Linked DNA regions of Tamandua tetradactyla. The protein of the gene in region 2 binds, or shares a complex with, the protein of the main gene of each other region. Links are inferred from orthologs where the notes say so. Each region holds a gene or a part of one and is shown on either strand. Other genes may lie near its edges.

What was found.
Region 1: SPAG5 (region 2) and KNSTRN share a complex: the UniProt entries of both Homo sapiens proteins name them as parts of the astrin (SPAG5)-kinastrin (SKAP) complex. The link is inferred for Tamandua tetradactyla from reciprocal best matches to the Homo sapiens genes SPAG5 and KNSTRN.

What each region holds. Positions count from the first base shown.
Region 1 is NC_135340.1:53,611,876-53,627,410, reverse strand, and holds KNSTRN (small kinetochore-associated protein), read right to left. Parts: upstream 8,372-15,535; 5' UTR 8,253-8,371; coding exon 8,044-8,252; intron 7,864-8,043; coding exon 7,769-7,863; intron 5,488-7,768; coding exon 5,355-5,487; intron 4,643-5,354; coding exon 4,595-4,642; intron 4,239-4,594; coding exon 4,133-4,238; intron 3,943-4,132; coding exon 3,849-3,942; intron 2,801-3,848; coding exon 2,739-2,800; intron 2,001-2,738; coding exon 1,926-2,000; intron 1,198-1,925; coding exon 1,066-1,197; 3' UTR 587-1,065; downstream 1-586. UniProt on the Homo sapiens protein: Essential component of the mitotic spindle required for faithful chromosome segregation and progression into anaphase.
Region 2 is NC_135332.1:51,822,187-51,838,494, forward strand, and holds the start of SPAG5 (sperm-associated antigen 5), read right to left. Parts: upstream 8,076-16,308; 5' UTR 7,949-8,075; coding exon 7,898-7,948; intron 7,660-7,897; coding exon 7,534-7,659; intron 1,324-7,533; coding exon 233-1,323; intron 127-232; coding exon 1-126. Other genes in the region: RSKR (ribosomal protein S6 kinase-related protein), read right to left, coding at 13,943-14,179, 14,668-14,778, 14,909-14,997, 15,081-15,170, 15,281-15,308, 15,547-15,587, 15,771-15,875, 16,108-16,177. UniProt on the Homo sapiens protein: Essential component of the mitotic spindle required for normal chromosome segregation and progression into anaphase. Required for chromosome alignment, normal timing of sister chromatid segregation, and maintenance of spindle pole architecture.

The DNA.
Region 1 (15,535 bases), on a different chromosome or scaffold from region 2:
TTTTAAACGACCAAGGAAAATAGGGTCTGGGGGTAAGGCATAAAAAATTGGGTAGAATGCAATACTAGTGGTCAATGAAAGGGGGGGTAAGGGGTATGAGCTTTTTCTCTTTTTGGAGTGAAGCAAATGTTCTAAAAATGATCATGATTCGGTGTGTGTGTTGGGGGGGGGGCAGGCAATCCAGGATTAACCCTGTGCACAGCAGAGACATAACCATGCTTGTACAGGGAAAGACAAGCAGCTAATAAGTACAAACTTGGTGGAGTTACAAATAGCGAACACCCTCTATAACTCCTGGAAGCAGGGGTCTAGTCAAAGAACCCTTAGTAACTGAAAGAAAATATTCTGGGTTAAATAAGCTTTGAACTTGTTAACTAGTTCAATAGGGTTCAGTGGGCATTTTTAGGTTAAAAGCCTACCTTCATTTCCCAATATTACAGTCAGAATATTTACGGAAATATTTATTTTAAAGTAGCACTTGTTAAAAACCAGAAGTAATTTAGATTAAAAGCTCCAAGGTGTATTGTAGGTGTTATTACCACCCATACCTTCAACCCATTTATTAAGCCAAACCATTTCAAGCAACTTCAAGTTCGTATGTTCATAATGAGGTATGGAAGACCAACAGGATGGGACAGAATGTACTCCAAATTAGAAGGGGGCAGCATGGCTCCTTGGTGTCTGCTGCAAGCAACCTGTGCTCCACTGTATAATTGGGCTTTGTTCCCACAAATCTGAATGTCTTCTTTTAGATCCTCTAGCTGTGGCTAGTTTAGCTCCCGATTCTAAAGGTGTGCTGTTTTGTTGTTTAGGAGGTTGATCAAAGCCTCTAGGTCCCTCTTTGGTAGGCCTCCATTATTTATGTGTGAGCCTCAGGAGAGCTGACCAATCTGAAGGTTGGGGACACTACTGAAAGAAGTAGCTTCCATTCCACCTTAATTCTACTGCAGAAGGAGTTTTCATCAGGGGATGTTGAGTCCTAGAAAATCAGAGCCAAGGTTTCCTAGGGGGCTTCCTCTGAGACTTTATCCCCAAGAGGGAACCATCTGGCCACTTCCTTTTTAATCACATTTCTAAGAGCTGTTCCATTTCCTCAAGGACTGTTGTAAAATCATTTACTTGACTGTTATATATAGTTTGCTGTTCGAGGAACCGTATCCTTTCTTCATCTTTCATCTTCAACTTTACTTTTAAGGCCTGCATGGAAAGACATTCAAAAAGGTAAAAAACAACAAGTCCTCTTTTCTCACAGAAAAGACACTAAACACACCAGAACATTACGTATCTATCCCAGTGAGGAAGAGTAATAGTAATAAACAAGGCATTTTCCATCTTAGATTTGTTTATCTATGTTCTTTTTGGGACCTGTCCCTCTACACTATAGACTCCTACATCTAACCTGGAGCAATGAAATCTAGCAGGGTTCAACACAATAGCCAATGATTCCTAAACAGTCCAAAGCAGCCCAGACCCAAGTTTCTGGGTTTCTGAATATAGGACCTTCCTCTTTGAGAAACATACTATCACAATTCCCCAGCATAGCTTTTATTTAGGACCCAAATCTCAACTTTGAACAACCCAGTGTGTTACACAATGCTTCATGCATTGTGAACATCTCTAAGGAGTCCTCCAGAACAGAAAAAGGAAATTAGTTGAAAAACTGTAATTTAGTTCAAATAAAGTCTGTAATTTAGTTAATAGTAAACTAGCTTCAGTATTGGTTTCTCAGTTTTGACAAAGTACCTGTTAATATAAGATGCTAACACAGGGGAATTGAATTTTCTGCACTATCTTTGCAACTCTTCTGTACATCTAAAATTATTCCAAATTAAAGTTTCTATTAAAAATGAACAGAGTCCTCTACAAATTTACATATTATGATAGGAAACAGTAATTATGTCTCTGAGGGACATGTCTGCTTTCACCTGTAACTCCTCCATCTGCTTTTTGGCTGTTTCATTAAAAAGCTTCAGCTCATCTTGTAAAGTTTCCAACAGCAACTAAGGGGAAGAAAGTACAAGGTAGCAACAAATCTCTACTGGGACATGAAAATGTTTACCTAACCTCTTCATATAAAATGGGAGTTGAATTCGATGATCCCTAAAGTCCCTTTCATTCATTCAATACTTTGTCTACCCCACCTACCAGGCACTGTATCCTGCCTCCTTGAGGAACTCAGTAGACAGGACTAGCCAGGTTATTGCACTATAATGTGTTCTGTGCTACACAGACAATATGATCAAAATACAGTCACCACGGAAGCCTGGGAGAGCTGGGGAAGGCTTCCAGACCTAGTATTACGATTCTAAGACAACAACTAATCACTCTGGATGCAGAGATCAAAAAGGCTCAAGACTTTAAGCCCAAGCAATTATCTTCCTACTTTAGGGAAGGAATAAAAAAGAAGCCAAAGAACCCAAATTTAACTTCCCCCTGGACCTTTGCATCATATACTTCTAGACAAGGGAATAAAGGGAGAAATTTGGTGATGTACAGAATAGAGACACTAGAAAGCTCTCTATTCAGGTCCATCTCATTATATATACACTTTCAACTCAGACTCAAAGCCACCTTCCAAGTAAAACAGGCTATTTTAAGAGTTCACATCCTACTGCTCTCTTCTATCATGGGTAACCAAAGGCCGCTTCTTGGGGTTTATTAAGCACAGACTAGAGACTGCATCAGATTTTTCAGAGCCCCATGGTCACTTGTCCACCCATTCACACCCATGCCCTCACCATAGAATCCTTGTGATCTGTAGTGTATTCCTGCTGCGATGCCAGTGTTTCGCTGCCTAAAACTGATGATAAAAGAAAATCAGCTTCATTTAGGGAACTGCACCTTTAACAAAAGAAAACGAAAACCCCTCCAGGGACAAATACAGGAGTATATATTAAAGAAACTTCTCTAAACATCTGATCCCTGACTCTCTCCCCTGAGTCTACACCTTGACAGGGTCTCTCACACCTGCCCTCTAGAGCTACAATCTATCTCCTTCCTGTCTAGGTTTGGATATAGACAAAAATTCTTTCTGCTTTCTCCTTATCTTAGTGAAAAAGGCTGGAATTTTTCCGCAGGAAAGGTACAGGCTGGATCTTTTGTTTTGCTTACAATACAAATATTTCCTGGTAACTATAACCACAACAAGCATATTTGTTAACTATAAAGAATATATACTTTTCCAGACTCTGTACTTCCCTACCACCCCCAAAATATATATATATATATTTTACTAAAATGTGATCTAAAGATCATTAGTATTACTCAAAATCAGCATTTCTTAATTCAAAGACGCATGTGCCCTTTCCTTGGGCCTTCCTAGGCTTGTTAATCCGAGCCCTGTCTTAGACTCTGGGCAAGTCTTTTTTTCCACCTGCTTCTTCACTACAGACCCTGTTCTCCAGGGACAGGACTGGAAGAGGGACCACATTTTAACCACAGTGATTCTGATGAATAACCAGACTTAGGAAACCCTGAAAGGGAATTATGTCTCTCTTTTGATCTGGGAAAGACAACAGGACACACTCTCCCTTAAAAACAACAAAATGTTTCCTGGTATATTTGCAAAGTCATGCTTGGCATCAAATGAACGGTACAAAGTATTAACATAAGGAAGAAACAAGACTCTCTCTCCACAACCATCTGGAGCTATCAGGTAAAATCAATATCACATGAAGGTGAAAACAGCTGAACAAAAAGAAATTCTAAAATCTTTAGGGCTTAGTTAAGCCACATTAGCACTGACGGGGCCAGTTAATGCCACAGGGGACTCCGGATGGACTAGAGTTGACCTGGGAAGGAGCACAGTGCACTGATTCCTTTGAAGGCAGTTGTGTGTGGTCTCTCACCTGGGTTGATGCCCTTACTCTCCAAAATTGCCAAACAGTTGTCCTGAAACTTCTCCAGCAGTTCTACCTTCTGGGTCAGATCCTTCAGCTCTCCCTGTTGGGACGTCATGCAGACAGATCAGGTCTCACTCTTGGACAGCCACAGCACACGCCTAGCATCTTCTATTTCTGCCCTTGGGGACCTGGGCATTATAAGCTTGCTCCCACCCAAGGGGCCATTCCTGCAGATTCCACATTCACCTCCCTCATGGCAGCTGACGGCAGAGGTCTGGTGGGTCTCTTACCTGAGTTTCAGTCAACTTTAGGTGCAACTGCTTATTGACGGCCTCTAAGAGCTGGTTTTTATCCTTGAGTTCTTCCTCTGATTTCTGCTTACTCCATGGTTTATAGCTGTAATAAATGTACTTATGTGAAGAGGTAGCAGGATTAATAGTATAGACCCTGGAGTCACACAAACAGGGGCTTGAATCCTGGCTTCATCATATAGCAGCACTTCTGTTTATGGGCCATAGCTGGCTTCGATTTCCCATCAGCAGTAGTCCAATAAGCTCCTGTCTGATACTCAAAATGGCAGGCACCATTATAGACTCTTTTTGTGACAGTGATTCTCAAATCTGCTGAGCCTCATCTCTGAAAATTCCTTTCAGGCTTCTGGGGTGGTACCCAAACCATAACACAAACATGTGCCATGAATGAGAGACCTGTTTTCTTAAACACTGTCTAGTTTCATTTACCCTGAAGCTCACCTTTTTTTAATGTTCTTCCTGATGGCAGCGTCTGCAGCTTTCGTCTGCCTAAAAAGCAAAACCAAAGAAAGTGATTACAGCACTTGCTGTGCTGCGAACAAGGCAGAACAAAAAGTCTGACTTTCTATGAGAGGATCAGAGATTACATTCCCTGCAAATAGCACACGTTTGCAAAGCTCTGAAGGCCCATGCCCTTTTGTTTTACCAGACTATCAAAAATAGCTTATCAAAAGGGAATGGGGGGCGGGCCGCGGTGGCTCAGCGGGCAAAGTGCTTGCCTGCTATGCCGGAGGACCTCGGTTCGATTCCCGGCCCCAGCCCATGTAACAAAAACGGAGAAACAGAATACAATAAAACAAGAAAATGTTTAAAAATGAAAAAAAAAAAAAAAGGGAATGGGCTCCTCTTCCCTGACCATCCCAACAACCTGATCAATCTGCTCCTGCTCAAGATGCCATCTCATGTTGACTTTACAGAGAGAACTGAAAGCACCACATGACACTAGGGCTCAATGCTGTACTGCTTTGGGCCACTGACCACAGGCCAACTGTTCAGGTGCCTCGTGCATCTAAAACCTATTTTCTAATTCTTGGTACCAATCAATTTTTTTTTGGGGGGGGGGGTCATGGGTAGGCTCTGGGAATCGAACCCAGGTCTCCAGCATGGCAGGCGAGCATTCTGCCACTGAGCCACTGTTGCACTGCCCCCAATCAATTTTTAACCAGATATTTTAACTGTATACTAATGATCTGACTCTCACCCATTCTCTCGTCTCTGTTTGATGATTTTTGTACCATCGTTCTCTGAACTTCCTGAAGGAAGAAGTTTGGAAATGTCTACATCTTTGGACTTAACAGGTAACAGACTCTTAGAAACGGCTTGAGTTTGAATGTCTGCAAAGGAAAATAAGAGGGTGGAACTCCAAGAGGCATGACTTAACAATGGCAACCCTATAACAAACATATCTTTATTCCAAGTTGTTATCACCATTCTGACCAATCTCAATTTCAAATCTCAGAGATTCAAATCTGACCAATCTCAACAAATAAAGATGTCTTTATTTCCCCAGCAGCTAGCAGAATATCTGGCATTTTGTCAGATGTTCAATACCTGTTTGCTGAATAAAACTTCCCAGCTTCACGGGTTGTTTCACAGATCTTCATTTCTAAACTCTAGGTTTCTCTTCTGTCTTCCATGGTGACTGGCTCTACCTCAGGTCCTTTTTATCTGCATATCCTCCATAAAGTTTAGAGGTTGCCCAGCTGGCATTCTATTCCGATCTTGTTGCTAGACTGTGGCCCTGCCATGCCACTTTCCTCCCCGCAAAGAGAACATTTCTCCCCTAGCTCAAGTGCCAATCCTCCCCCATAAATGGTCTACCATTTGTCTTCCATGATAAATTCCAGTTGCTTATTCTGGAGTTAAGCACTCCTCCCCTCCCCACCATCTGCCCCCTACCCCAGCCCCCTTACACACAATACATAGCACAGAGGCTTTCCTAGCTTAAACTTTTCACTTTGTTCACTCTACAATGACTCCCTGAAGCTTGACCTGTTAAGAACCATAACAATTAAATCAAATCAGTTGAAGAAATAAGGCACAAAGCCCTGGAAGGGATTGGGATGAATATGACTTTTCAGGTTAACAGATTATTCCATTCAGAGGTACACTTACTGGGCACCTTTGCTCTCTATTTAGATACTCTTACCCACAAAATAAATATTAAGAGGATTATTTTTGAGGGGTCTGTGGTAAAAGGTAATCTCCATGCTCGAGTATTAATGTTATATATGGTAACAAATCTATCCCATGTAAAAAGGCGCTAACAGTAAATGGTTAAAATTAACACCGTCTATTGAACGGAATCGGTTTTTAAAAACCCATATTTCATAGAACCTAAGGAATGCACAGTAGAAAAAAATTAGCAGGACTAAAGACTGTGTCCTTAAAATGTAAGAAACTAAGAGGGGAACTGGATGGCTGGTGTCCAGGAAGGGAAAGCATAAGGCTTCGTAACTTTTATTTTTAATTTTTAACAACGTGTGTATATGAAAAGCTATAAAAACCAAACCAACCCATGCTTGACACTGAAACAAACAAAAAACTGGCAGACAGCTTAAAATTTTAAACTATTGAGGTTATGTCTGATCATACAACCCAAAAGGGAAAAAAGCAAAGAGATGAAAACTTCCACCTTGGCTGAGGAGAGCCAGTTACTAGCTGCTGAAGCAGGCACAGGGTTTTCCAGAGGAAAGACAGCAGATTTGCATATAGAGACCTGCTTCTGTTCCTCCAGGAACCCCTTAGGCCTTGCTGATGCTGCTATTACCGTGGAGGGGTTCTGATGCAAGATGAGACAAACAGACCAACCCTTTTAAGCCTTTGGAGAAAAACCTATTTACTTCACAGCCCAATTCTATTACTGCTCATCAACCAGACGCACGGGGTCATCTGGGAAAGGATCATAAATAGCTGCATCACAATCTACCACAACAGTTTTCTGGTGTCTGAAATTTATTCTGTGCTACAGTCTCTAGATTAGGCAGCTGGACAGCTGCAGCTCTTATGCAATGACTTTCAACCACCCGCAACGTAAGAAAGCAAACGGCAAAGCAATAAAAAATTATATTTTTAATCGTATCTTTCTTCTCCTAATCATATCTCTTTCTTCTCAAAATACTTTGGCTAAGCCTGACCTCCCCTAGCTCGCTCAACAAACACTTACTGAGAGCGTACTATATGGGAGACACTGTACAGATACGTGAACAAGACATGATGCAAACAACCTAATGTTCTCCCCCTAAGTATCCCACTTACCAAATGACCCCCCTACCTTCTCCCTGGTAACAAACCCATATCCTCAAAACAGCCCCAAGCCTGGAAATAAAACCAATAACTGGTTATCCCCTATTTTAGAGGGATAACTGTAGAATAACCAGCAGCTTGAATCTAATTGGTGGAACGCAGCACAATGAGGTGTGAGGAACGGCAGGGCAGGTCTAAAGAGCCCTCTCTTGGTCTTTCCCCTAACTCCCTAGACATAAACTAGACAGACTGGCTCAAGGGACGCTAACACGCTGCGAGGGCCCACGGAACGCCCTCATTTGCCCCGCGCCCCGCATTCCCCGCCACCAATCTGATTCCCGCCCCATCCGCACTGCCGGCTCCACCCACCTGAAGGTAGGCCGCCCCCCAGCACAGAGGGGGCCTGAAGAGTGCATACTGTCTTCACTATGCTGGTCATTCTTACAAGGCGAAACGGCTGGACTCTGGAAGGGGCAAGGTTAAAGTGACGCTGCGCTTGGCCAGCAGGCGGAGAACCCCCGAAAGGCGGGATCCGACCTGCTCAGCCTCCACGGAAGGGTCGGAAAAGGGAATATTTTCCATTTCCAGGCCACCCCGTCTGCCCTCCACATTGAGTCCAGTTCCCAGCCCCAGGATAGTCGAACCTAAACGCCGTCTGCTCCCGCCCGGCGTCCGCGCGGGTCTCCTTTAAAAGATGATGCGGAGCAACCGCCACACCGCTTGTCGCGTCTGCCGCCTCGGTTTCAAATGGAAACTTCCGGTGACTGGGTGGGCGGGGGAGTGGGTCACCTTCTGCAGGCAGCCATGTTGTACGGAAGACTTTATCCTGGGCGATGGCTTCAGGAGCAGCCATACTGTACGGCTGGAGGTGGAAACCTGAGGTTCCTAGCGGTGGATTTTGGAGGCTGCAGGTGTGGGCAGGCTGCACTTTGCAGGCCCCAATGGCGTTGATAAGCCACAGGCGTCATATTCAGGGCTTGGGATGCAAAAGTGTACGTTCAGAATCCAGGTTGTCACAATCCTTTTCATTATTTGGTCTGTGTTTGTTAGGGGTGTTGCATGATGCCCAATTGCGGGGACACAGGTTATGTGAACGGGCAGAAAACAACACATTACAGGATGGATTGTCGTGGGTGGGGATTGGAGAAGGCGACCAGTGGGCTGAAATACCTGAGACACCTACTAGCAGTCCGAACTTAATAGTATTTATACAGATTTTAAGCAGAGACTCAAGGCTACTCCCAATGAGCAGAGCAGAGTTTTGAAGCACTAAAAACACCAAAAATTTCATCCAATAAATATTGAACACCTGCTATATGCCAGACACTCTATAAAGTATAGGATGGAGGACAACAAAGATCAAGACTGATCTTGCCTCTGCCTCCTTGAGTTTACAATCTAGTGCAGGAGACAGTAAACAATCACACAAATAAATACATATCTACCAATTTTGGCAAAACTATGAAGGAAAAATAAAAAGTGCTATGAGAGAATAGCAGGAGAAACTAGTTTTAATTGGAGGGCCAGGGAAAACTCTCTGATATTTAATTTCTGGAAGGAGGAACCAGAGGGAAAGAGATGCAAGGCCCAAGGTGAGTATGGGTTTTTTTTTTTTTTCTTGCAGAAACTGAAAGATGGGAAGAGAATGGTAAGGAGAAACCTGGGTCAAAACTTGAAGGCCTTGGAAAAGAGATTAGATTCTATCTTAAAAGTAATGTGAAGCTGTTGAATCATTATAGCAGGAGAGTATCATTTGATTTATATTTTAAGAAGCACACTCTGGCTACTCCCTTGAGAGTGGGTTGGAGGCAGCAAGAGTGACACCTGAGAGGCGTTTGGGAAGTGACTGCAATCACTTGTGAGCGGTGAAGGTGACTGGGTCTTGATGGGGGTGGTCAGTAGTGGAGATGGAGAGAAGCAGACACGTTTAAGATGCTTTCGGAAGTAGGATCTCAGAACTTGCTGATAAGTTGCGTGTAGGGGGTGAAGGAGAAGCTTGAGTAATTGTGTGGATAGAGATCATTTCCTGAGATGGAATCACAGGAGCAGGAGTCTGCAGGTTGTATTGGGAGGAGATGGTTCAGTTTTGAATATGGTAAACTTGAAATACCTTTGAGACCATCAGTTGGAGCTGTCAAATAGGCAATTGTCAATACAGGCATTGAGCCAAGAGGAGAGGATGAATTGGACATATGTTCATGGGAGTCGTTGGTATGTGGATGTATTTAAAGCTGTGTTATTGGGTGAGATCATGTGGAGCCAAGGACAGGGATACCCAGCATTTAGAAGTTGCAGTTGTAAGGTGGGGCCTGCCAAGAAATATGAGAAAGTGAAGAAAATTAAGGAAGTATTGGGCGTTGGATCACGTCTCAGCAAAAGTATTGGCATATTCAAGTCTCAAGCTGTGGTTCTGTGAGTGTGAATCCATTTGTAAATAGGACCTTTGAAGATGTTATTAGTTAAGGTGTACCCCACCTGAATGAGGTGCGCTTTAATCCAATGCAGCTGAAGTCCCTATAAGCAAAGGAAATTGGACACAGAAAGAGAAGCCACAGGAGAAGCAAGAAGCTGGAAGTCAATAGAACCTCTAAGAAAAAGAAGATGCTGCCATGTTTGTTGCTATGTGACAGAAAAGCCAAGGAATCCTAAAGACTGCCAGTCAGCAGAAGATACTGGCTTTGGGAGGAAGCAAGCCTTCTAGCCTCTGAAACCCTGAGCCTGTAAATTCCTGTTGTTAAGCCAACCCATTGTGTGGTATTTGTTTTAGCATCAGGGAAACTCAAACAGATGGTGTCCCAGAAGTCAAGAAGGAAGTAATGGTAAACTGTTGAAAGCATCTGAAAGGGCAAGCAGAATGAGGATTAAAAGAGATCTATTTAATGTAGCAATGTAGAAGTCATGATGATTACAGCAAGGGAAATTCTGGTGGCGGGGTTGGAATGAAAATTACATTGGCATGGGTTGAAGAATAGGTGAGAGGTGAAATAAAATAGGTAGGTGTAGACTCTAGAGGGTGTCTGTGAACAGAGTAGAACAATTGGGCAGTAGCTGGAGGTGGGTTGTGGGTCAAGGAATGGTTTTCTTGAAGATGGAGATATTGTTGGATACCTGTTCTGATGGAAGTGAGCTAACTGAGAGGAAGAAAACTGTGCTTCAGGAGGGAGAGAGGTTGAACAAACAGCAAAGTCTTGGAGAAAGGGGAAAAGGAGATCTAGAGAAGCATCTTCAAACTCTTTTGTACATGTACCCCCCCCAAAATAATTTTAGAAGCAGTGTATGCTCTAACCCTTTTTTTTTATTATTAATTAAAAAAAGAATTAACAAAACAATTAGAAATCATTCCAATCTACATGTACAATCAGTAATTCTTACTAACATCACATAGTTGCATATTCATCATTTCTTAGTACATTTGCATCGATTTAGAAAAAGAAATCAAAAGACAACAGAATAAGAATTAAAACAATATTAGAAAGAAAAAAAAAAACAAAAAAAACAAAAACAAAAAACCTATACCTCACATGCAGCTTCATTCAGTGTCTAACCCTTTTTTATTAGAGAAGTTTTAATGCATAAAATACGCAAAATGCAGTTTCCATAAACCACCCTAATATTAACACCTTGCATTTTTATAATTGTACTATTAACTAGAATCCACCATTTACAGTAGAGGTCACTGTGTTGTACAGTCCTCTGTTTTTTCTTTCTTTCTTTTTATTCCAGTAACATATATATAACCTAAAATTTAAAAAAAAGGAAAAATTAAAAACATACACAATTCAATGCTGTTAATTACACTCCCAATGTTGTGCTACCATAACCACCATCCATTACCAAAATGTTACAAAGTAACTGTACATTTTAAGCATTAACTCCCCATTCCTTATGCCCAACCTGGCCCCTGGTGACCTGTATGCTAGATTCTGACTCTATGAATTTGTTTATTCTAATTATTTAATATCAGTGAGATCGTACAATATCTGTCCTTTTGTCTCTGGCTTATTTCACGCAACTTGATGTCTTCAGCGTTCAGCCAGATTGTTGCATATATCAGAACTTCATTCCATTTTATGACTGAATAATATTCTCTTGTATGTATATGTAACATTTTTAAAAAAAAAAAAACACTTTTATTCACCCACTATACAATCCATCCAAAGTGTACAATCGTTGGTCCTCAGTATAATCTCAGAGAGCTGTGCTTTTGTCACCACAATCAATTTTAGAACATTTTCATTGCTCCTAAAGAGAAAAAAAACAATACCCCTTACACCCTGCTATTGTTGACATTTAACATTAATGTGTACATTTGTTACAATTGATGGAAGAACATTAAAATATGACTGTTAACATAGTCCATAGTTTGCATTAGGTGTATTTTCCCCCATATACCTCCCTATTATTACACCTTGTAATAGTGATATCAATTTGTTCTAGTTCATGGGATAACGTCTTATATTTGTACCATTAATCACCTCTGTCACTATGTTATGCAGTCCCTTGTTTCATTCTCTAGCTTTCCTTCTAGTGATAAAGCCAACCTTAAACTTCCCCTTTCAACCACACTCACATGCACGATTTAACACTGTTAATTACACACATGATAATAAAATATCATTACCACTATCCATTTCCAAACGGTTACAATCAACCTTGTTAAAAAAATTCTGCACAAATTAAGCTCATGTTTCCCGTTCTCTACCCTCCTTCTAACTTCTGGGAACCCATATTCTAGATATTAACTCCATGAGTTTGCTCACTTCATTTAGTTCATTTCAGTGAGCTCATACCATATTTGTCCTTTTGTGTCTGGCATTTTTCACTCAACATAATGTCCTCAAGATTCCTCCATGTTGTTGTACACATCAGGTCTTCATTCCTTCTTACAGCTGAATAATATTCCATTGTTTGTATATAACTTATTTTGTTTATCCATTCATCAGTTGATGGAAACTTGGGTCGCTTCCATCTCTTGGCAATTGTAAATAATCCTGCTATGAACATCAGTGTGCAAATGTGCATTTGCATGAGTAGGTCAGTGGTAGAATTCTTGCTTGCCATGTAGGAGATACAGGTTTGATTTCCAGCCCATGGACACTCCCCCCAACCCCTCTGCAAAGCAACAACAACACACACACATCTATATCTATATCTATCTATATCTATATCTATATCTATATCTATATCTATATCTATACTATATCTATATCTATATGTATGTTTGAGTTCCTGCTTTTAATTATTTTTGGTATATACTTAGAAGTAATAGTATATGGTAATTCTATGTTTAACTTTCTGAGGAACTTTCAAACTGTCCTCCACAGTGACTGTACCATTTTACATTCCCACTAACAATGAGTGAGTGTTCCTATTTCTCTGCATCCTCTCCAGTACTTTTAATTTTTTTTTAGAGTAGCCATTCTATTCAGCATGAAATGGTATTTTGTTTTGATTTGCATTTCCCTAATAGCTAATGATGTTGGGCATTTTTTCTGATGTGCTATTTGGCCATTTAAAAATGTCTTTTATTGTAAAATATAACTATATACAAAGAAAAGAAAGAAAAAGCAATAATTTTCAAAGTACACTTCAACAAATAATTACAGAACAGATTTCAGAGTTTGTTATGACTTACGATTCCACTATTTCAGATTTTTCCTTCTAGCTGCTCCAAAACATTGGAAGCTAGAAGAAATATCAATATAGTGATTCAGCAATCATACTCATTTGTTAAATCCTATTTTCTTTGTTATAACTCCTCCTTTCTCTTTGATCCTTCTCCCAATCTATAGGCATGTTTGGGCAATGCTAGTCTGACGTTTTCATGTTGATAAGGATAGGGGGATGTAATTAGTTGATAATCTTGGAGAGGCTGGTCCCTCTGGGTTTCAGGATTTATTTGGCCTAGGAACCCTCTGGAGGTTAAAAGATTCAGGAAAATAAACTTAGTTCATGAAATTTTTATAAAGTCTCAGTTCAAGCCCTAGGTGTTCTTAAGAATAAACAGGAGTGGTAGCTGAGTTCCAGGCCAAGATGGCAGCTTAACAATGTGCGCATTTTAGTTCATCCTCCAGAACAACTACTAAATAACCAGAAACAGTTCAGAACAGCTCCTGGGGCCATGTCAGTGACTGGACACACAGCATACCCCAGTCTGGACTGGCTGGACCGGCTGCGAGACCCCCCAGAACCATGAGTTACACAAGCCATGGCGGCCAGCACCTCTCCTCCATAGACTGCTTCCCAAAGAGGAAAGGAAAGAGACTTTACCAGCAGCAGGGGCTGAGCCCAACCAAACGCCAATTGTGGAATTAATGAACAAATTCTGACTACTAAAAATAGACCCCCAACTCAGGTAAATCTGGTCAAAGCAGAGGTTGCTCATTTTTGCCCCGGCGCCAAGGGGGCAGGGCTGACGGAAAAAGAAAAAAAACAGAAGGAAACACAGGTTTTTGTGGCTGTGTTTCTAAACAGGCTTGACTACCTTTAGACACAGCTGCAGGGCTTCCCAGGCTGCAACTGCCCCAGGCATAGGCAGAAACAAGCTCATTTGAGGGCTTGTCTGGAGCCTGTGCCTTCCCCAGGGGAGGGGTGAAGCACAACTCAGGTGGAATCCCTCCCTCAAGGAATTCAGACACCAGGGCTTGGCAATTTGAAGCCATTAAAACCATCCTACAACCTCTCCTCTGTCTCCACTACACCCCCAGCAGGGAGAGTCTGCCAAAGTTAAAAGTACCGCATCATCTTATGCTGGTGGGACCTGCAGGCAGACAAGCACCACATACTGGGCAGGATAAGAAAAACAGAGCCCAGAGACTTCACAGGAAAGTCTATCAATCTGCTGGGTCTCACCCTCAGGGAAAACCGATGCAGGTGACTCCTTCCTCCTGATAGGAGACCAGTTTGGTCTGGGAAAGTCTGGCTGGGGTCTATAATACCTAAGTAGACCCTCCTAAGTGTGGGGGGAAAAAGGCACCATACAAGCAGGGCAAGAAACAAGAAAACAAGAACTGAAAAATTCTCCTCTGTTAAACAAAACTTGAGCTAGAGGTCCACATAAAACTGAACTGAATGTCAAAGAACAGATAGACAAAAAATACATACAGCAAGAAAACCTTAGGTAAAAGAAGTGCAAAAAATCTCCAGAATAAACTAATTAAGGTAATTAAATGCCTAGATGCCAGCAAAAATAACAAATCACACTAGAAAAATTGAAGATATGGCCCAGTCAAAGGAACAAACCAACAATTCAAATGAGATACAAGAGCTGAAACAATTAATTCAGAATATACGAACAGACATGGAAAACCTCATCAAAAACCAAATGAATGAATTGAGGGAGGATATAAAGAAGGCAAGGAATGAACAAAAAGAAGAAATCGAAAGTCTGAAAAAACAAATCACAGAACTTATGGAAATGAAAGGCACGGTAGAAAAGATTAAAAAAACAATGGAAACCTACAATGGTAGATTTCAAGAGACAGAACACAGGATTAATGAACTGGAGGGCGGAACATCTGCAATCTGGCAAGAAAAAGAAAATGTAAGGAAAAAAATGGAAAAATATGAGCAGGGACTCAGGGAATTGAATGACAATATGAAGCACATGAATATACGTGTTGTGGGTGTCCCAGAAGGAGAAGAGAAGGGAAAAGGAGGAGAAAAATTAATGGAGGAAATTATCACTGAAAATTTCCCAACTCTTCTGAAAGACTTAAAATGACAGATCCAAGAAGTGCAGCATACCCCAAAGAGAGTAGATCCAAACAGACATACTCCAAGACATTTACTAATCAGAATGTCAGAGGTCAAAGAGAAAGAGAGAATCTTGAAAGCAGCAAGAAAAAAGCAATCCATCATGTACAAGGGAAACCCAATATAGTCTTATTGGGTAGATCTCTCAGCAGAAACCATGGAGGCAACATGGGATGTTATATTTAAATTATTAAAAGAGAAAAACTGCCAACCAAGAATTCCATATCCAGCAAAATTGTCCTTCAAAAATAAGGGAGAAATTAAAACATTTTCAGACAAAACATCATTGAGAGAATTTTTGACCAAGATACCAGCTCTGCAAGAAACACTAAAGGGAGCACTACAGCCAGATACGAAAAGACAGAAGAGAGAGGTGTGGAG
Region 2 (16,308 bases):
TGAGGGACAGCAACCCGGCTCTTCCAGTCTTGCAGCTGGCGAGAGAGGATCTCCAGAATGACAAGAGATCTCAGCAGGTTATCTTCCAGGTCATGTCGAGATAAGGCAGTTAGATCTGGAGGACGGCTGCAGCAAGAAGAGAGGAACATGAGGAAAAGAAAGGAAGAAGGGATGGGAATGGCAGGTACAGGATACTGGAGCTCAAGAGGGACAACGATATAGGGACACTTACCCCCATAGGAGGCACTCTGTCTCAGAACTACTGTCCTTGTTGCCCTCCAGGCCCATCTGGGACGTGTTTGTACTCTTTTCCTGTAGAGCTGGGGGAGTAAACCAAGTTCCTGCTGAGCAGGTAGAGAAAGGAGTAGTACCAATTGCAGCATCCTGAAGCACAGAGGGGAGGGATAAACTCTGATGGAGATTTTCCAGCATGATTGAGGAATTTACACCTTTTTCCAGCCAGGCCAGTGGGGACATCCAAGGCCCTGTGTCAGGTTTGAGGATCAAACCAGGATCTTTTACTGCTGGGCCTGAAGCTGCCTGGGATTCTATTTCTGTTGGATTTGGTGCCAGGCATGTAGATAAAGTATCTTTCATAGTTGAGACAAGTGCTTGATCTCTCAATTCAGTCTCCACAGGGGCAGGAGGAACACTCATTTCTTTTTCCTCTATAGCTCTGTGCTCTACAATTTCTTCTCCTTGGTCCACCTGATTGACAGGGAAATCTGCTGCCAAGGCAGTTGAAGGGGAAAGCCATAACGTGGAAGATGGCAAGAAGGCATTACTTTCAGAAGTTACTAAGTCCTCACACACGGCCTCAGTTATATTTTCTCTCTGGCTTTCCTTGGAGCAATGTAGCTGTTGCTCAGAACAGGGACTTGGTGGATGGTCCAAGAGATGGGATGAAGGATCCTGAAATATTGGTTTCTCAGGCACAGCAGCAACGACTTCTGAAAAGCTGTCTTTCATACATGGTGCCACCCCTTTTCCCACCAGATCTCCTGGCCTCAATGGCTCATGTAAAGAGATACCATTTGCTTCTCCCATGGCATCCAAATGGGTCATTAGTGAAATGTCTTGCTGCTGTACCACTGGAGAGGGTCCAAGGACCATGGTTTTAACCATGTAGTTGTCCAGGGGATCAACTGTTGCTTCAGGTGTTTTAGGAGTAGAGTTGGTTTGGGGAATCAGATCTAGGGGCTGCTCATCTGAATCACGCTGACATGCTTTCTGCCACTTTGAGGGACAGCTGAATTGTTCTGAAGGGGAGTCTGTCGTGGTGGCACTGATAAAATCCAGTGGAGATGGGTTGCTGCTGCCTTCCTGACAAAGGAAACAAAGCCAGTTGACTACGATCATCAATTCAAGTTCCCAACATATAATTATGAATGCGAGATACTATCCAAACTCCAAAAAGGAAAGAGTTCTCATTACCTCTGCTTAGGCAAGAACTTGGCTAATCCCTGCTGCTAATCACTACAGAGACCGAAGAGCAGAGGAAGAAAACCTAGTAAGCCATTTTAGGTCTTCCAAGGGAACCAGTCTATGGTATAAAAAAGGGCTGGAATAATCTGTTCATAACATGAGGAGATGGCAGCTTCAATGTGTTCCATTTCTTCTCCATTCCTAACTCCAACCTGCTTCTAGGGAACAGGAAGGAGGGGTCTGTAGGCTGTGAGTGAAAGCTCAAGCTCTGTCAGAATCTCAAATTGTCTCAAGACTTTTTTCCCTTCTGAAATAGATGAGAATTTGGGGACCAGAGTCAGAGAGTCCTAGGACAATTATTTTAGAACATGTGGATCCTAGGGAGCACTTTGTTCAAAGAGATCAGTGAACCCCAAGGATAAAGGGCAACATCAACCTATGCCAGTGGCTCAATCTCCTTGACCCACCAGGGGTGACAGCATCCCAAACAATATAGTTTGAATATATTCAACCCTTGAGACTTGAAAAGCTTTAGTCTTTGTAGCAGAGGAGACTGAAGAGCAGAAAGACTTCCTCCTGGTGTCTTGACAAAGGACTGACAACCTCCCTATTGCTGGTTCACAGGGACATTGCACCTTCTACAACTAGCAGGATTACTGCTACTGGCTGGACCTCAAACCCAATAAGCAAGAAAAGGAAAATAGTAACACACTATTGTGAATTATGAATCCAGCAGCCAAGGTTAGAAGGAATGCTAAGATAGTTAGAAAGATAGACCCTAACAAAAAACAGAAAATTCAAATACAGTACACACAAAAAATGACTTTCTGGAAATAAAAAACATCACTGTTAAACTAAAAACTTCAGTATAATGAATTGAAAGAGAGGATGACCAGAGTTGAGACAAGAATTATTGGCCTGGAAGAGCACAAAGAAGAAATAAGTTAAAGACAAAAATACAAACAAATGTAAATCTGAGGAAAAAGTTAAGGGAATTGGGGGATAAATTCAGGAAGTCTAACGTGAATAAAAGAAGTTCCAGGAAAAGAGAACACATGTAGGTGAGGCACTGATAAAACAAATATTAGAAAATTTCCCAAAGGTAAAGAGGCAAGTCTGTACAATAAAATGGCTTACCATGTTTCAAGCAGGATTGACAAGAAAAAAAAAAGTTATACCAGATTGCTATCTAAAATTCATTTTCTCCAGCAATATATGAGGGTTTCCATTTCCCCATATCTCCAGCAGTAGGTGTTAGAGAGCTTTTAAATTTCAGCTAGTCTAATTGATACACAGTGGTATTTCACTGTTACCTTAATTTACATTTTCCTGACTATTAGTGAGTATATCTTTTATATATTTGTTGGTTATTTGGATTTGCTCTTTCGTGATCTGCTAATTTATATTATTTGCTCATCTTTCTGTGGGGTTATTAATCTTCTCAGTCATTTTACAAGTTTTTTTTAATATTATAATTATCTTTCATCATTGCTTTCTAGTTAGTTTATAATTTTCTTTTAGTTGTTTTCTTTAATCCAAGGGTTATCTAGGAATAGTTCTTAATATCCAGGAGTTTAAAGACCTTTTCTGTCAACTTAGACACATAATGGTAACATTTCTGAACTATAAGGAAAAAACTATTTTAGAAGCTTTAGCTAGAAAGACCAATTATTTACAAGGAAAAAAAAATACTTTCATGAAATTTCTCATTTATAGCAGTGGATACTTAAAATATGAGAGAGAGCTAAAGAAGCCAGACAGAATATATATCACATATATGGCATTTAAAAACAGACCAAACCATTTTGAGTTACAAAGGCAGTAAAACTACAAAGAAAAAAAGTATTTACCAAAATAGTCAGAAAAGTGGTTATTTGTGGGGGGAGATGGGGTTGTCATGAGACAGGATTCCGATATTCTGGCAATGTTCTATTTATCGACATGGATGTTGGTTATAGGGGTGTGTGCTTTGTACTAACTGGTCAAGTGGTTATGTTTTATGTATTTTATTTCAATTTTTAAAACTTTTCTTTTTTTAAGTGCTAAAACGAAGTAGAAAATAAAGAGATTGGCAAAGAGATACCTAACATCAAAGAGAGCAGAGGCAGCAATATCAGACAAGGTATAAATTAAGGTTATAGCATTATTATGATAAAAGACATAAAGATATATGATATTAAAAACATAAACTGATATGAACTATACAGTTTAGAAACTAAATATACGAAGCAAAAATACATACACACAAAAAAAATGTAAATAAAATATACTTTTAGAAGTGCCAAAGCACAATTTTAAAAAAGTTTTTGCTGCATCTATCAACTTCTATTTATCTTTAAAAATTACTTTAAAACCCTCTCCTAAAATATGACAGAGCTGGTAGGCTAAAAAAACATGTAAGGACAGAGTAATTAACGATCTATTGGCAAATATAAACAGACTACAGCATCCTTTGAACATTAAATTTACTTGTTTCATAGATCCATGGAACCTTTAGAAGAATTCATCCTGTACTTGGCCACAAAGAAAAGCTGACAGAAAAGGTCTTTAAACTCCTGGAAATTAAGAACTATTCCTAGATAACCCTTGGATTAAAGAAAACAACTAAAAGAAAATTATAAACTAACTAGAAAGCAATGATGAAAGATAATTATAATATTAAAAAAAACTTGTAAAATGATTGAGAAGATTAATAACCCCACAGAAAGATGAGCAAATAATATAAATTAGCAGATCACAAAAGAGCAAATCCAAATAACCAACAAATATATAAAAGATATACTCACTAATAGTCAGGAAAATGTAAATTAAGGTAACAATGAAATATCACTGTGTATCAATTAGACTAGCTGAAATTTAAAAGCTCTCTAACACCTACTGCTGGAGATGTTGTGGGGAAATGGAAACCCTCATATATTGCTGGAGAAAATGAATTTTAGATAGCAATCTGGCATAACTTATTAAAATTAAAAATACACATATACTTTAACCCAACAATTCTATTCCTGAGAATCTATTTCATAGAAACAAAAGCATCAGTACCAAAATTTATATTTTGACTAGTGCAGTTCCTAATATAACTTATGTGGACAGCTTCACTGAACACCATAAGTACATGGTAGGGCATAAGATTTTGTAGGTTTGTCCAGAGTGATGCCCTTATAAATCCCAGCGTGATTTGAACAATGAGTAAAAAAGTATTTGCAAAGTCTCCTTAGGGGAATGGTGAAAAAGGGGGAAAATTCAACTTCCCGCAGCGCAGAATTCTTGATATTCTCACAAGCAGTGGGGACAACCAAGGCAATAGGCTGGGTCCCCAATCTTGGGGTTTGTTCATATGAAACTTAACCCCACAAAGGTTAGGTCAACCCTACTTAAAATTAGGCCTAAGAGTAACCTCCAAGAAAACCTCTTTCGTTGCTCAGTTGTGGCCTCTCCCTCCAGCCAACACAACAAGCAAACTCACCACCCTCCCCCTGTGTATGTGGGACATAACTCCCAGGGGTGTAGACCTTCCTGGCAACATGGGACAGAAATCCTAGAATTAGCTGGGACTCAGCATCAAGGGATTGGGAAAACCTTCTTGACCAAAAGGGGAAAGAGCAAAATGAGACAAAATAAAGTGTCAATGGCTGAGAGATTCCAAACAGAGTCACGTTATCCTGGAGGTTATTCTCACGCATTAAATAGATATCACCTTGTTAGTCAAGATGTAAGGGAGAGGCTGGAGGGAACTGCCTGAAAATGTAGAGCTGTGTTCCAGTAGCCATGTTTCTTGAAGATGATTGTATAATGATATAGCTTTCCCAATGTGACTGTGATTGTGAAAACCTTGTGTCTGATGCTTCTTTTATCTATCTTATCAACAGACAAGTAAAACATACAGCATAAAGATAAATAATAGGGGGAACAAATGTTAAAATAAATTTAGTAGATTGAAATGCTAGTGATCAATGAAAGGGAGTGGTAAGGGATATGGCATGTATGAATTTTTTTCTGTCTTTTTATTTCTTTTTCTGAATTGATGCAAATATTCTAAGAAATGATCATGATGAGAAATATGCAACTATGTGATGATATTGTGAATTACTGATTATATATGTAGAATGGAATGATCATATGTTAAGAATGTCTGTTTGTTGTTACATTTAAAAAAAAATTAAAAATTAATAATAAAAATAAAGCATCAGTACCTAATACATGTACAAAGATATTTACGCCAGGATTGTTTGTAGAAAAAAAAACACAGAAAAATAAATATCCATTAATGAATAAATTGTGATTTATACATACCATGGTACGCTATGAATTAGTTCTACAAAGTTGACTTACAGTGACTTCCACCCACATTGTTAAATGAAAAAAGCAAAGAGCAAAAAAAGTATATAATATGATTCTATCATGAAAATAACTATGTATGTTTGCATATTATTAAAAGAACAGAGAAAAATACAGAAGGATACACAGCAGGTTGTTAAATGGCTTGGGAAAAGCAAGGCATGTTTTGGAAGTACTGACTCCACAGGACCAGCAAAAGAAAGGAAAAGTAGAGCTAAGCAGAAGGAAAAAAGGGAGGAGGGAAGGGAAGGAAGAAGGGAGAAAAATATTGCATTTTGGGGAAAAAAAGTGCCTTGATTAAAAAAAAGTGTTATAATACATGGATGTGCATTTATGTAAATACATACAAAAACAGACACACACAGAGATAAATGAAAAGATTTTCAAATATATCAATGAGGTATCTAAATCAGTGGGAAAGTATTTTCTTATTTTTAATATTGTTCATGTTTCAAACAATGAACATGCATTATTACAAATAATCAAAATTTATAAAATAAAAATAATAGTTATTTTGTAGGGGAAAAATCCCTTTTTGTTAGTATAGTTGACTATATTATGAGATGGTGAAGGTGAATGGGCAAACTCTCTAGTTAGGAGGGGCAGGAGACACAAATTCTAGTCTTTTCTATTACTGTGATTAAAGGGCTATGGTTACATTCTATAATCTCTATGGACATCAGTTCCCACTTAGTATTTCTTATTTTCTTTCTTAAGCTGTACTATCCAATATGCGTGCCACTAACCACATGTGGATATTTAAATTCAAATGTAATAAAAAATTCAGTTTTCCAGTTCCACTATCCACATTTCAAGTGACTAGCAGCTATCAAGCTGGACAGCATAGATTGTCAAACATTTCCATCATCACAGAAAGTTCTATTGGATGATAAGTGTTGGAACTCTTTCAAGAAAAACTGCTATCCTCAAACTTGTTACTCAGGGTATTATCTGTTTTTATATATTCTTCTACTCTTAAACCTATTTATATCCCATCTCCTTCCAAAAATAATTCAGACTGCATGAAAAAGATATGAAGTCTTAGACAAAAAAGAAAGAAGAAGCAAATCTTCCAATTTCAGGAAGTAAGTGTAGCTATACCTGGTCATCAAGTATGATCCCGAGCTTCTTAGAAGCCAGAGGATGAGGAAAAATATGAGAAACTACATGGGTCTCATTATCAGTAGAAAAAGACAAGAACAGGAAGACCATTTTTCCAGGTGATAAGTTCTAAAAGAAATTTCTGTGAGGAACCTTACAGACCGGGGTCAACTTCTTAATCTGACAGTTTCTATACCGCTGCCTCTCTCAAAATCTTTGACAAACGCAGAATTTAGCGGTCACAGCTCCAAGAGACTAAACTAAGGTGGTCCATATTAAGAGTGATATACCCAGCCTCCCATGACCCCAGTAAAGTTTGGACTACCTCATGGAGTGGATGGATATTGACTCACAGCTGTAACAGATCGACCTCTCCCTTACTGAGCCAATGTAAGAAGGAGCCAACCGATCAGTGATAGTATTTCTCAGCAGTTTAATACAGGCTGAGTGGATGATAAAAACTAACAGCTAAATAGAGGTTTGGGCTCTCAGTGGATTTCCTTTAACCAACCTCGGGTACCTCTCTGTTGGCCTGAATAACTGTAAATGGATGTTACTGAGGTAAAAGACTTCATTATCGTTATTAATTACGTTCCAGCCCTGGCCCTCTGTTCCTTTGAGCTCTGGACCTGGGCAAAGTGCCCAGTAGAAAAGCCGGGCGACTCTCACCTGCAGCCCCAGCTTGCACAGTGATGGGGTCAGCGAGGAGCATATAGCGGGCCCTTTTCCAGAATTTGTGTGGGCATCAGGCTGCAGGATAAGTTCTCGGAGGGGCGTTCTCATAGCTGGTTTTCCCTGGGAAAGAGAAGAGAGCGAGAGTGAAGAATCCAGCCCTGGGCTGGCCGTTCTCCTTCCCTTAGAGGCCCCTGAGACGATGAGAAAAATAGGTTCGGGCTTCAGTAGCGCTGAAGAGGCCAGACGGAACAAGGTTCCTTACGGACCCCGGCCCAGCCTCCACCCAGCTTTCCAAGACACTCGGCACTGCCAGCGCCCCCGCCCCAGATCCCTTTCTCCGCGAGGCTCTCCCGCTTACCCGCTGGGGTGAAGGCGACAGGCTGAGGCTCAGTTTTTTCGCTCGCCACATCTTTGGGGTAGAGGGCAAGTCGACTACCTGCTAGACCCGAGGGGAGCCGCCATCTTCACCCGCCGTCTTTATTTGAACTTGCCCCACGCTTCCCGATTGGCTGCCGAGGTGCGTCAGGCCGCCGCGTCTGTTCCGGACTCGCGCCGGCGGGCGACGGGTGGGCGGGGCCGGGGGGGGGTCGCACGCCTCCCGCGCCTGCCACGGGGTTCGCTCACTCTCCTCGAGCGACCGCGAGGCGCAGGCGTTGGCAGGCAGGACGCGACAGGCTCGCTGCAGGTCCTGAGCTTTCAGGTGAGGGAGGGCGCCGCAGGTATCTGGAGAGTCAGGATGTCCATCCCTCCTGCTTCCTTCCAATGGACCACCTTCACACCTTGTCAGGAAGGTTGCCTCGAGGCCTGGTCTTGGGAAGGCTCTCCTCAGGTACCGCTTCAGACCTGACAGGAAATGAGCCGGCCGGGGAGTCAGGAAGGCCGAGGTGAGTGGAAGAGTGCGTTTCACTTAGATCTGGAGGTCTTGCACGTGGGTCCCATATCCGCGATGGCCTGAGACGCAGTTCCCAACCAGTCTGCAGCCCCCGGGCGGCGGTAATGCCTCTTCAGGATTTCTGGTCTTTTCTTGGGACTTAAGGCCTGAGACAAGTTTACTGAAACATGTATTGAACATTTCTTATTTGCCTGGCGCTGTTCCAAAGTGCTTTATTAGCTCATTTAGTCCTCTTAAGGGCCTGTGAAGTACTATAAATATCCCCGTTTATAGATGAAAGAACTGAGTCATAGAGAGACAATGTAATTTGCACGAAGTCCCTCAGATAGTAAATGGCAGAACCAAGATTCCAACCCACACAATCCACTACTACGTTCTCCTGCCACTTAAATCCTGTGTGTAGGGGAGATTTATCCGTTGAAGGTGGAATCAACTTTTCGAAAACAGCATAAAGGCAGGTTTATGATAGAGTGTATGTTCCTTTGAACACTCACAGCACCTTATTTACATTCTAGAAATCTTAACGAGTTTGGAAAAGGCAAGGAGGAGGAACAATTATGAACTGCAGGGCTTTTAGGGGATGGGCTTCTCTAGAACTATGTTGTCCAATACGTAGCCACTACCATATGTGGCTATTAAGCACTTCACAAGTGGCTAGTCCAAATTGAGATGTGCTATAGGTATAAAATAAATACTGGTCTCATTTTAAAATATTGATTACGTGTTGGAACGATTTTTTTTTTTTAATGTTGGGTTAAATAAAATAGATTAAATTAGTTTCACGTTTCTTTGGTTTTTTTTTTTTTTTTTTTTTGCATGGTCAGGCACCGGGAATCGATTCCTGGTCTCCGCACGGCAGGGGAAAATTCTGCCTGCTCAGCCACCGTGGCCACCCTCACGTTTCTTTTTGCTTTTTTAATGTGGCTATTAGCAAATTTATAATTACTTATATGGCTTTCATTTTGTTTCTACTGGACAGCACTGCTCTAGAAACATAACAGTCTTAGTTGCTTGAATGGGAAGTTTGGAAAAGACAATATAAGAAGACTAAGTTGAGCCTGGGATTGCCCAAGGCTCAATTCCAAGGCACACTTCTAGTTAATATTGATGCAGCAAATAAGACAAGGGTGGGAAGTGGCAGAAAAACCAAGACAGAAAATTCTTAAGTGCCAGGAGAAATTTAAATTTAAAAAGGTGTGAATTGGAATGCTATTCCTTGTTGCAGCCAGTGTGTCAGATGTCAGCTGTAGCCAAAGTGATGTAGTACTTCCAGCAGTAAATCAGGAGGAATATGTATGGAGTAGATGAAAAAGAAAATGCCATTGGGAATAATAGATAATATAAACAGAATTAGTTTGTTGAAGTTATTTTGCATAATATTTTTTTGATTTGTTGGTTTTTATTTTATTAAAAAAATAGATTATAGCAAGTAAAATAATATAATGCAAAGATGTATTAAAGAAAAAGCCTCTCCTGTCCATTTTACCCTCCTCTACACAAACATACACAAATTTACACCAACATACACACGCACATATACAGGGGGCTTCTTGTGAGTCTGTTGAAGGAGAATCAAACTATACACTTGACTCTGTAAATTGCTTTTAACAATTAATCCTAGATATTCCTATGTCAGTAAATGTAGCTCTAGTGCTTTATAATTTCTTTTTGCACAATCACACATACAGAATTTTAATTGATGAGTCTTTGGGATTGAGGCCTAGTGTAAACCTTTATTATATTTTTCCTCTTATTTTCCCACTTGCATTACTTCTGTCTCCCAAATTCTTGTTCTCTTTCTCTCTTAATACTTTTTCATGAATGTACTAGCGCATGCACATGCATACATACATTGAGTCCTTTATAAAAATGAAGTAATTTTTTGTTTGCATTTTCTTCTCACTCAAGGTTTTGTAGAAAGCCTTCTAAGTCAACTGATATTTGCATTGACTTCTCACTTCATATACCTTTTCCCTTTTTAAAAATAGATTATTTCATTTTCCTTTCCCATTTGTAAGAGTTCTGTTAAAGACAGTAGCTCTTTATCATCATATTACGAATATATTTTTGTCTATTGTTTGTCTGTTGATTTTATTAATGGTATCTTTGACCATAGAAAGATTTTACATTTTTATGTGGTTAAATATGTCTTTAATTACAGTTTTTTTATTCTCTGTCTTGATTTAGGTATCTCATTCATCCCTTGATTGTAGTTCTAGTCCCCCAGTTGTTCTAAGATATTTTTTTAAATTTATTTTATTTATTAAATGTACCAACATACAAACACAAACATTCTTACCAGATGATCATTCCATTCTACATATATAATCAGTAATTTACAATATCATCACATAGTTATATATTCATCATCATGATCATTTTCTAAGATTGTTTTAATGTATCACATTTAAGGCTTTAATCTATCTGGAGTTAACTTTTGCATGTGATATGAGATAGGTGTTCAATTTAAGTTACAGATTTTTAATTTTTGAATTAGAGATTTCTTATTTTGTTGAACAAATCAGCTACCTTGAGGAATACCTACCAGGCAGTTCTGAGTGAATTCAAGGATGAAATTGTGGAATTATTAGCCCTGCTGCTGAATACGATGGAGAACTGAACAAAGGAAGCAGTGTGCCACTGCTAGTCACTGGGACCCCATAAACAACAAATTCATGATGAGGCCAGTGAAATCTGAAATGATGAGTATGTTCTCAGAATAAAACAAAATTGACCTAGGGAAAAAGGTAGTATGCTTTTCTGTAAATTAAAAAATCATTCCTGATTAATACATTAGAACTCTTCACAGAGGTTAATAATGCATTTTCATAAAAGTGAACCAGTGAATGTGATTTTATTTAATTAAAAAAAATGCTTGACAGGATTCTACATTGAAGACTCCTTAAAGAAGTAACAAAGGAATTGAGAGTACCAGTTTGTTAAATCAGTGAACAAACAAACAAATGAACAGATCAATATATGATAAAGGAACTTAGGTTAGTGATTTGAAACAATGAGTAGCACTCCACAAATACTTTTCTAGAAGAATATATAAGATTGGTTGTTAGGACTAATCTTAAATTCTTATAAAAGAGAGGAATATAGAGTGAGATATCCGTGTTTATAAGTGTATTTCCTGTCTTCCCTAGGTAATGAAAAGCAAAGCATAGGAATAAACTTAGGTGATTAGAAAAGTTGTATATATAAGGTGTTTTTTTTTTAAGTGAATATCATATGAATAATTAAAGGGTGTAACATTTGTAGGTTAGTTATTCTGAATGAGGTGGGAGGTGGGGAAGAGAAAATGTCCTCTAGGGATGAGCATATCAGAGTTCGGGAAGGAGGATGGGGCAGTGATACTTTCTGAAACTTTTGATTCTCTATCAACCTCTCCACTCTACCCTGCAAAACACTGCTGTAGTGAACAGCTAATTAAAGAGAAGGTTGGAAATGTGATCATTTGAGAAGAAATGATTTAAATTACACTTATATGATCTTGGTCTCTAAGTTATCTAATATGGCTTAGGAAAAGGACTCTAGTGACATTATGCTAACCATTTCCTAAAGACTAACCCATTATGCTACTGTAAGCAGAAAGGCCAGTATATTGCTGGGCAACCTGAACATTAACAGTAGGCCAGACACATAGTATTGCATAGCATCAGATCTCTGCATCTGCCCTTTGAGAAAATGTTACACAAATCTGAAACTCATTCCCCACAATTCAGAACCACAGATTGTAACCCCTTCATTTTATACACCAGGAAACTAAGATCTAGAGTGGTTAAAATGACTTGTCTAAAAACACTGAGTTAGTATTTGGTGGATCCGGGCACCAGGTCTGAATTTCAACATAATGTTTTTACTTTGGAAATCATTCCTATTTTTAGTATTCAGGGTTTTTTTTTCAATGTACAGTTCTGCTCACTACTACTTTTTTTTTAATGTAATAATGCTAGAAAAGGGTCCAAAGAGAAACAAATGAGATAATCAAAAGGATTAAGGATACATTCTTTTATTTATTTATATCCCAACCTTATTCCAAAAAAGCTTACAAAGACGCAAGTAATATAGTAAGATCAAAAGATTAAAACTTAGAAAAAGGTTAAGGAAAAGGTAGAAAAGGAAGATGGAGCCAAGAATGTGGCTAACACACAAAATGCACAACATGAAGTCCTAAACACTAGCTGGAGGTGGGCCACAAATTAGGTTCTACGTGGTCTAGCATCTTGTACAAAGAGAAAAATACAATAAATTGAATAATTTCAGGGTATTTAAGGTGAAAACCAAATAGCAATTCTGGAAAAGCACAACTATCACCAGAAAAAATTTCTCCCATGCATCCTCAGATAGAACACTATGAATTTTAATGATAACTGTCCTTTACATTATGCACAGCAATTAAGTTTCATAGGGACTTTCTTTAAGACAACCTTCAATGAATACAGGAGGCACCATGCCAAAGTGCAATTCAGAAAAAGCAATTTTTCAGAGGCCAATAAAATGCCAACTATGTACAGGGAAAATATGGCCTAATCCAAGGATGGAATTAATAAATAAAAATATACAAGGTGCTCTCCAGACTCTTTTAGATCTGAAGATATCAGATACAACTAAAGGATAATATGGTCTAGATTAAAGCATATTTTTCCTCAGATCTAAGAACAAAAATGTAACTTTTAAAAAGTTAGTTTAAGGAAAATGAAAAGTCATAAAGGCCAGAAATGTATACAAATTCAAGGTCCAAATGATTTTCCTTACTAAAGGAAAATGTACTTTTGGCATGTCTCTAACTTTAAATCTTAAGGTTAGTGTCATGCCTTTTCATAAAACATCTCTTGGTAAATTATCAGTTTAAGAACTGTCTTTCAAGAAGATTTTGTTTAGGAAAAAATGTGGATAGCTTTTCCAGTTACCCCTAGAGAAGACATTTAACTCAGCGCTGCTTCAGTTCCTTTCTTCTTCCTTACATCAGGGTCTTAGGTTCACTTTTTAATTTATTTTAAATTAGTTTTTTTACAAACTAGCCTTAAATCTCTACAGAATATTCTTTAGCTGCATATTAAGGACTGAAAGCCAACTTTTGAGACCTTTGGAAAACATCTGTGCTGCTTCTGACAAGTCTATTAAACACATTAATAGCAATTTAGGAATCCATGAAGTATCATTATTGCTCAAGGAAGGAAACATGGCAGAAAAACAGAGGAAAAAGGAGAAGAAGCCTCTGGGTGCAAGCTTCAGGGTATGAGCACTAGAGAAGTAAATAAAGCAAAAGGAAAAAGTCACTTTCCCTGATCTGAAATGTTGAACTGAAAAGTGGAATCTATAATGGGGAAGGGGTAGGGCCAGTTGTGGCTACCAGTAACAGAATGCCCAAGATTTTAACTCTGGACCAAAGCCTAGATGAACAGAACGGTAAGGGGCTACAAAATAACAACAAACAGGATCATCGAGGTGGTGGTACTGAGTTGGCAGTGGAGAAAGTTCTCAGGTTCCCAGCTGGGCCCCCATCTATAGTAGAGAGGCTCGAACAGGGCTGGGGTAGATCAGAAAGGACTTCAGGTCACAGTCAAAATCCTTAAAATGCATGGACTCCGATAGACTGGGCTGGTTAGCTTGCGCCTCCATGACAAAGTTCACCGGCTGCTTCTGTAGGAGTTCTGGGTCAAAGGCCATACCCCGAAAGAAAGGGTGGACCTGAAAGTGATGCAAATATCGTAGACGGCGGAGAGGGTTCTGGCATAAGAGCTGAAGAGAAATAGAGCATGAGGATGAAGGACTGTGATATCATGGGGCTGAACAGAGAAGATGGAAAAGAAAGGAGAAAGAAGCCCAAGGAACTATGGAAGGCAGGAAGAAGAACCCTAAAGAATAGACTGTAAAAGAAGGAGAAACAGGCTATCTGGGGGCAAAGGAGGGAATAAAGGAACTGTATTTGTGAGTTTTCAGACAGTGAGAAAGCATCATTGGCCCATTCTCTTGGAAGGGACTTGGCCTGCTCTATAGGAGGAGGAGATTTGAGAGAAACAGGCAGAATTCACAGAACTAAGAACTCAGGAATGAAATTTGAAGTACTGGTTAGAAAACAAGTAGTGAGGTGGGACTTAATCAAATTGGAGTCCCCTTCAAGAAAAAACTAATCGGGGATGGGGAAATACCACTTAAATGACAAGGAAAGGAGAAAGTGAATGGTTTGGTAATCAAGAAAGACAGTCAAAGGTAGTGCTGATCCTTACCTCTTGGAGCAGGAGTGAAAGCCCCTCGTTAAGAAAGGCTGGTATCTCATAGACACAGTGGGTCACACTTGCCATCATAGCCACATGATCTCTCTCTGCAGACACTGGGAACTGAGTTAAGGGGTGAGGAGGTTTCATTCCTTAGTAGGAATAAGGCAAAATTTCCTAAAGGTCTTTCCTTTGTCCTCCTCAGGGCAAAGTTTTCTGTCTTTTCTGCCCAATACCATTATCATTCTCTTACCTTTCCAGTTGCCAAAGAGAAAAGCACGATACCCAGGGACCACCAATCAGCAGCATGGTTGTAAGGCCCTCCACTCAGGACTTCTGGAGCTACAGATTTGAAAGATACTTGTCACTAACACCCTCTGGCTCTCTTTACAGTGCTTACCCACCAGCTTTAGCCTCTTTCTTACCCATATATTGAAGAGTTCCACAAATAGTATAGGCTCGGGCTCCCTGCGACAGGTGGCGGGACAGACCAAAGTCTGTCAGTTTCAGATGGCCTATAAAAGAAGCAGCAAACATCACCATGCTGTTCCACCTCTCATCAGCCATTACTTATTTCCAAACCCAGGTAACTTTATCCTGGGGCTTGGGAAGGAAAAGGACTTACCTCGTTCATCCAGAAGGATATTCTCCATCTGAAAAATCACAGGTGAGAAGTTATTCATCCTCTTTCAACCCTTTTTCATCATGTATACGTCTAGCTGAAGAAGGTGCCCTACTCAGCATTCAAATTTATACTTGGTAGGACCCTTTCCCAAATCCTTAGCACCTACAGAGCCCCAAGGTCAACTTGATTTCCACCCTTTCTTGGCCCTGCTGGAACCTCTTCCTGAGCCCCCTCCTCGGACAAAGGGGAAAAGCACCTAGCTCTACCTTCACATCTCGATGAATGATGCCCAAGTCATGCAGATAGCCTGTGGATGACAGTAAGCATAGGGTGTGCTAAAGCTCTCCTGTCCTTTCTAATTTCCCTGGTAGCCCCCCATCCCACCCCTATCCCTATTCTTTGATCCACCGAATTAGCATCAGTTCTTTTCCCTCTGCCCACCACCTGATTTTTCCCTCCATATTTCCGGTACCACTCCTATTTCACTTACACAGCACCAGGACCAGCTCAGCAGCAAGAAGGCGGATGGAAGCCATATCAAAGCATCCAGCAGTGGACCAGAGGGAGTATAGATCTGAGCTGCAGTAGCTGCACACTGCAAAGCACCAGAAGTCTAGGCAGTGTTCGGAACCTACTGTGCCTGGGCTCAAGGCATTATAGGTCCCCTGCCCAAACTGGTGCCACCTACTAATCTCTCTCCCTCTGGGATAGAGGTGATAAGAGAAAGGGAACAAAGGCAGAACAAGTTAAAGGGATGGGTAATCCCAACTGGAAGGTGGAGAAGTATGGTAGAAGGACCCTTGGGGATGAGGAGACCAATCACTCACTAATGAAGAGGTGCATTTTCCCCTGCCAGCTGTCCCCCAAACCATGTACAAAAGGATGGTTGATCTGTCGCTAGAGACAAAAATAACAGGAAATTAGAGAAACATAGGATCACTGAGGATGAACACAGCCAAGAAGACAGGCTCACCTACTTATGCAAAAAGGAAGCTGCTGCCTTACCAATCAGATCAGAGGAATTCAAT